Linked DNA regions of Drosophila melanogaster. The protein of the gene in region 2 purifies or fractionates together with the protein of the main gene of each other region. This does not show direct contact. Each region holds a gene or a part of one and is shown on either strand. Other genes may lie near its edges.

Region 1 (3,777 bases), 9.0 Mb from region 2:
ACACGACTTCTAAATACCCTTTCCCTATCAAGATAAGCTATGCAGATGGCGTTGCCGATGGCAGGGAAAAGGTCTTCCAAGAGAGCTTCGATGAAGGCTTTGAGAATGGCTTTAAAACTGGATTCGAACTGGCCAAACTGAGTGCCTTCTATGAAACCATAAGCAATGCGGCGGGAGCTGAAAGCTCCGAATGGAATGCAGAACGAGAAGCTTATCAAAAACTCCAACTGGCAGATGCAACAAATAAAGCACACTTCACATATTTGGAGCATCAAGGCGCTCCACTCAACGTTATATCCGAAAAACAAAAGACCTACGTGGACGACCTCCTAGGAAAACTGGCACAGCAACTCCCGGCAACTACGAATTTATTCACATCGGGGAGCGATTCTAGTGTTAATGTGGTTTAATGCATGTGTTTGGGAATTATCAAAATTAACTTGAAAGTATATCTTCGCGCGACTTATAAATAAAGACCCTCGGGCGTGCCCTCCTTCTTCCGGTACAAGACGCTCTCCTTTGACTTCTTGAAGTCCTCGTTGGTCACCTTCATGCGGCGTTCCCGCAGCGCCATCAAGCCAGCCTCTGTACAGATGGCCTTGATGTCGGCGCCGGATAGATCGTCCTTTGCCATGATCAGTTCGCTAAGGTTCACGTCCTCGGCCAGCGTCATGCGAGATGTGTGGATGGTAAAGATGCGGCGCTTGGTCTTCTCATCGGGCAGCGGGAACTCGATCTTGCGGTCAATACGACCGGGTCGAATGAGCGCCGGGTCAAGGGTCTCGATACGATTGGTGGCCATGATCACCTTGACATCGCCGCGCGAATCGAAACCATCCAACTGATTCAGTAACTCCAACATAGTACGCTGAATCTCCCGCTCGCCACCAGAATTTGAATCGTAGCGCTTTGTGCCCACTGCATCGATTTCGTCGATGAACACAATGGATGGAGCGTGCTCCTCAGCCACACGGAAGAGCTCACGAACTAGCTTGGGTCCGTCGCCCAGGTACTTCTGGATCAGCTCTGAGCCTACAACGCGCAGGAAAGTGGCCGAGGTCTGGTTGGCCACTGCCTTGGCTAGCAGGGTCTTGCCCGTACCAGGAGGCCCATATAGGATGACGCCCTTGGGTGGCTTGATTCCCATTTCCTCGTAGTACTCGGGATGGGTCAGTGGCAGCTCAACAGACTCCTTGATCTCCTGGATCTGAGTGTCTAAGCCACCGATATCTGCGTAAGTCTCTTGCGGAGCCTTTTCCAGTTTCATCACCGTGACCATTGGATCGGTGTCGTCGCTGAGAACTCCGACTACAGCGTGTACTTTGTGGTTGAGCAGCACGGAGCAGCCTGGTTCCAGCTGATCCTTGTCCACGAAGGACAGGATGCTAACATAGTGCTCGGAGCCCACCGATGTGGACACGATGGCGTGGTTGTCGTCGATGATCTCCTCCAGGTTGCCCACGGACATGGGGGTGCCGCGCAGATCGTCAACCTTAGAGCGCTCCTCCTCGTTCTTCTCGTCCTGGGGCTTCAGGCGCTCCTGGTTGCGGATGAACTCGTCCTCCATCATCAGGTAATCCTTGATGCGCTCCAGCTTGAGCAGCTTAAGGCGGCAGCGGGTGTGGGGCGTGACCTGGGGCAGCTTCATGGCCGCATCTGGACCCTTTGCGCGCCTCTTCTTCTTGCCAACGCGCGTTGGGATTGGAGGCTCGTACTTCTTCTTTTTATCCTTGTCATCTTTCTTTTCGCCAGCTCCCCCTTGAGCCGATTGGTTTTGTCCCTGCAAATGTATTGTTCCCGATCGTAAATGAGTTCAGGGTGTTCTGAAGGTGCTATTTTACCATTTTGTCTTGGTGCTTGCTGCTTTGCCGAACGTTTGATGAACTTTTTACTCTTTATTGTCGGCAACAAAATTACTAGTCATTCGCGTTAGCTGTGTTGCCGTACTATGGAAACATGAAGGTCTGGCAACTCTAAGGGTGAACAAATATTTTAAAAAAACGTGAAAATTAAAATAGGCAAGAAATGCTTAAGCAATCGGATTAAAACAATAGTAATGATTAACAACCAAAATATAAATGAATTCAAGACTTGAAAAAAGCAAATTTTAAAAGTCACTGTTTTATATACTTATCGATTACTGTAAACAAACTGAATGTTTCAGTCTGGCAACGTTTGCAATTAGTGCGAAAAGAGCATTTGTTTAAATTTGTTATATTGCGACCTTTTAATGGATCAAAATGTCAAGAATGTTGATCTTAAACTGGATAACATTGAGGTTCTGACCAGTGGGACAACAGCGGAGTTCGTGAATGGCATCCTGGACTTCTTGCTCTATCAACGCCGGCAAATCCCCTTCGTGTACAAAACATACAAATATTATGTGGATAAATGGTCAGATGCTGATGAATCGGGAGAATCCAAGGATCAGGAGTCCTTTGCTCATTACCAACGCAACCAGCAGCGCTCTAAGGCAAAGGCCACCAAGGAATCTATTAGTGACATGAGAGAGGTGAGGTTCCCCTTACATCCAGGACTTCTTTTGGTCTTTACTTGCCAGTTCTCTCCTACAGATCATCCGACAAGCCTTCAGGAGCTCTGAAGTGAAGAGCCTGCGATTTCTTTTTGGCAACAATATGTTCATGCCCTCGGAGGCCTATACTCTGCACATACCACATGATTCCATATCCAGAGATCACTATTGCGAGCACCATGCTCTGCCCGAAGGTCGCATCAACCAGGCGCTGCTCCGCCTGCTCACCTGCGAGGAGCTGTACAGGCTATTCTCCACCGAACTAAAAGTCACCAACGTGTTTCTAGAAATGGAGCTCCTTACAGACTCCGATCGACCCCAAGGATCCCATTGTGACTCCTTTAATCTAATCCCAAAGCATATATTAAGCCAACTTCCGCGCAGCTGCAAGAACATACACCTGCATCTACTGCATTGCAGTGAAAACACACCGAATGAATTACGCTGCTGCAAGGAGATGGATATTTACCACGATCTTGGCGTGCGGAATCTGGATAAATCTGGGGAAGACGTTAGCCAGACCAACGAAGAGCATGACGTTTTGAAAGCAGCAAATGAAACCAGCGGTTGGTGGCAGGCCGAGGTCATAGTTCGCGGTTTCAGAGCTCCTGGCAACCAAAAATCGGGAGATTTGTGGTCTAGCTAACATTTTATAACTTGGATTCTTGCTATTCGGCGTGTTTGTGTCAAAAATAAAGTTTCGAATCGTTTATATTTCAAGTATTAAGTTATTTTATTATGTATATAATTGTTTAATTTTATTTTTGGTTTCGATTTATTGAGAATGTTTTGAAAACCCAAGGCACTCAAAGATGATCCATCGTGGTATTGGTATTATCATCTTAGGTAGTGATAATCATGGAAACTGGTGCACTGCGCTCTCGCTGCTTGGCCACAATCTTGTTGGCTATGCGATCCAAGTTACGTTGTCCTTGCGGAGTCAGCTTACGACCACCATCCGGGTGCCTCTCCACCATGTTAGCAGCTTCCAAGGCTTGAAGAGCCTGCTCATGTGTTAGATACATGCTAAGTAATATTAAATATAACCTTAAAGTACAACCATTTCCCACTCACCTTGCGAATACAGCCATCCGATGAGCGACAGTGCTTGGACGGACGAACACCGTTGCGCTTGCGCCCGCTATAGACCTTGGTGAAGGCCCCAACGCCGGCGGGACTGCGCAGGTACAGGTGTCTCATAATAGAGGCGCAGCGAGTGTAGAACCAGTCGTCGTCGGTAGGAG
Region 2 (3,240 bases):
ATAGCACTCGCGACGGAACAACTGAATCTTTATAACTTGTAGGTTGCATTGCGCGATTCGCGTCTAAGAGAATGTTGTAACGCACTTTTTGTTTGATAAACTAAGTAATAAGTTCATTTAACGCATAAACATAGAGGAGCTACCAGCTCTTCTCTGAGATGCATTTTATGAAACCTAAGCAATAGAACTCCTGATTGCCAATCCTTCGGTTTTACGAGTGCTATAGTCTCGACCTCAGTCAAACTCAAGCCGCGAAATAAACTTTCACTCTTCTCCCGCAGCCTTCGCCACTCCATTATCATCACGAAGAACAACACACATCAGAGCATTCCCCCATCCCCATGCAGACACGCACGACATCAGTGTTTGTGTATTTTTTTGGAAATTACGACTCGCTATACGCAGTTACTGCTTGCAGGAGACGCCCGACAAACCGAAATCCGATCAGCCGTAACGCTTTAAACTAGGACTTAGTTACTCATTAAGATGATAGTTGGTTAAGTTGGCAGTTGGTTTTCACGCCTCGCACGCTCGCAGTCACCAGCATCACTCAATCGACTGTGGAGTGTGCACGGTGTGAAAACGACCGTGATTTGTTTATTTCATTTCTTTGCCAAACGAAAGACATCGTGTGTGTGTGTCTGTGTTTGATTTTAAGCAGTTTGTTATGTTTGTTTCTACGCTGGCTCTTCAAAGGCTAATTTAAAATGTATTATATTTACTACCGCAAAACGATAAACTTGTATATTTCAAGCTACTGTTTGAGGCAGCAGTTGTAGATGGTTGCACAGTCGCATTATTATTATTATAGAAAGTATTCCATATTAAAACAAATAAAATATATACGTTTTGTTTATCAATATGTGTGAGAGTGTGACTACGGCGATGGCTTATCAGATATCAGAAGCACGCGCTAAAATGTTATGAGTGCGTTACACACATCATTCATACATATATATGGCACCTATTTGTTTTATAAAATGGTTCTCAGTTTGGTGCAAAAATTATATTATTAAACAAGCTTTGGAACAAGGAGGAAGGAAATAAACGAACTCAGGAACAAGGAAGAGGGATATGAATATTACGAATTAAACTTATTTGAATCAACTTTTCGTTCAGTGTATCAGTGCATAATGGGAAAGCAGCAATACTAGCAGCTTATGTTAAGTCAGCAGTAAAAAGAACCCGAGCTTTTGCTGCATTTGTTTATCCAAGCATATATGTATGGTGATGTGCATTTAAATTATGGGCACTTTTGGTTCATTCGCGTTTTCAGCGACTTCTGAAAAGGCAGTCTTACGGAACTAATTTACCAAAGTTATAAATAAACAATAATGTTCTTAATCTAAGAATAAAGTTTTTAAAAGTATATCGGTGGAGTGGACAATAAGAAAAAGTAAATGTCAATAAAATTAATGTTAATAAAAGAATTAGATCATTTGGTACCTGCCATAACGAATCCAGTTTGATAACAATGTGTAATCTAATAAACACAAAGGGCAATCCTGAAATTTGAACCCCCGCCAAAAAAAGGCCCCAAAGTTGGCAGCCCCTCGGCGCAGTGTTGCACGTCGCGGCCATTTTGAAAGTGACAGCTCCTTTTACCGTTTCTTTTTCATCCTCTTTCTTTCCGCGCCGAACGCTTCGCGAAGTCGCACGCCTTTTGAGATCTAGCTCGAATTAATTTCCCCGAAATGTCCGAGGAAGTGGTGGAGTCCAGCAGCCAGGAGGCGAGCCAGGTTATACCGCAGGAGCAGGAGGACTGGGCTGACGATGTCGTTACCACAATGCCGGCCCAGGAGGTCACCGAGTGGCCGGAAATCAAGCTTTTCGGGCGCTGGGCCTGCGACGACATCTCCATCAGCGACATCTCGCTGCAGGACTACATTGCCGTAAAGGAGAAGTTCGCCCGCTACCTGCCGCACTCCGCCGGACGCTATGCGGCCAAGAGATTCCGCAAGGCCCAATGCCCCATCGTGGAGCGCCTCACCAGCGGGCTGATGATGAAGGGGCGCAGCAACGGCAAGAAGCTCCTCGCCTGCCGCATCGTCAAGCACGCCTTCGAGATCATCCATCTGCTAACCTCGGAGAATCCGCTTCAGGTCACCGTCAACGCCATCGTCAATTCCGGTCCGCGCGAGGACTCCACGCGAATCGGACGCGCCGGCACTGTGCGCCGCCAGGCAGTCGATGTGTCGCCCTTGCGTCGTGTCAACCAGGTAATCGTGTTCGCATTCCACAAAGTCGTATGAAGTTAAAATGAGTCATTTTCAGGGAACTTCTTGTAGTTAAGAAAGTTATCTACGTAATTCTTACAGGCACTTGGACACTGCTTAAATTTAAAATAATAGGTACAATACATACCGATTTCAATGTAAATAATTAGAAAGCAGTAGCAGAAAGTTATTTTTATCCATTATAATAAGTCAAAATAGAACTTGACACAATAAAGTTAATAACTGAATGTTTTTTTGCAGGCAATTTGGCTAATCTGCACTGGAGCACGTGAGGCTGCCTTCCGCAACATCAAGACGGTGGCCGAGTGTCTGGCTGATGAGCTGATCAACGCCGCCAAGGGATCCTCCAACTCCTACGCCATCAAGAAGAAGGACGAGTTGGAGCGCGTGGCCAAGTCGAATCGTTAAGCTGCGGATTTTCTGCATTTCCATGAATTGATGCCGACTTACATAAGTTGCTATGTAATCATTTCATCTTCTAACTAAATACACAAATGTATTTTATTCCTTCTGTTTTTATTGGCATTCATTTCTACATATCATTTATATGTTCTATAAGAAATGATTATCCTGTCAGTTCGAAAAGATTTCATTCCACCGTGCCAACTTAAAATCGATTCTTTATATTCTGTTAATTCGAAGCTTTTCGCTTAAAAGATGATCTCTAAGATGAGTTTTGGATTATTCTTTATGCTGTTCGTACTGGGCGCCGCCTCGTTGGGCGCGGTTGGCATAATCTTCGCCAACGTGATGGTCAATATGGGTGAGCGCATGGGGCTCGGCTGGTTCCTGTACACCTCGAATCCCTTCCTGTGGTCCGGCATGGGCATCTTCCTCGCCTGCGCCCTGTCCGTTCTGGGCGCCGCCAGTGGAATCTACATGATTGGATGCAGTGTGGCGGGCGGCGGAGTGCGATCGCCTCGCATCAAGACCAAGAACCTGATCTCAGTCATCTTTTGCGAGGCGGTGGCCATCTATGGCCTGATCACGGCCATCCTGCTGT

What was found.
Region 1: the proteins of RpS5b (region 2) and Rpt2 purify together in Drosophila melanogaster (affinity purification with western blotting, with the first as the bait; one study listed by BioGRID). This does not show direct contact.

What each region holds. Positions count from the first base shown.
Region 1 is NT_033777.3:23,929,483-23,933,259, forward strand, and holds Rpt2 (regulatory particle triple-A ATPase 2), read right to left. Parts: upstream 2,077-3,777; 5' UTR 1,845-2,076; coding exon 1,842-1,844; intron 1,781-1,841; coding exon 464-1,780; 3' UTR 411-463; downstream 1-410. Other genes in the region: CG31142 (uncharacterized protein), read left to right, coding at 33-410; CG13599 (uncharacterized protein), read left to right, coding at 2,231-2,512, 2,574-3,179; RpS19b (ribosomal protein S19b), read right to left, coding at 3,376-3,537, 3,608-3,777. UniProt on the Drosophila melanogaster protein: The 26S proteasome is involved in the ATP-dependent degradation of ubiquitinated proteins. The regulatory (or ATPase) complex confers ATP dependency and substrate specificity to the 26S complex.
Region 2 is NT_033777.3:14,899,932-14,903,171, reverse strand, and holds RpS5b (ribosomal protein S5b), read left to right. Parts: upstream 1-1,608; 5' UTR 1,609-1,694; coding exon 1,695-2,219; intron 2,220-2,274; coding exon of another isoform or gene 2,275-2,292; exon of another isoform or gene 2,293-2,351; intron 2,352-2,477; coding exon 2,478-2,645; 3' UTR 2,646-2,740; downstream 2,741-3,240. Other genes in the region: VhaPPA1-2 (vacuolar H[+] ATPase PPA1 subunit 2), read left to right, coding at 2,895-3,240.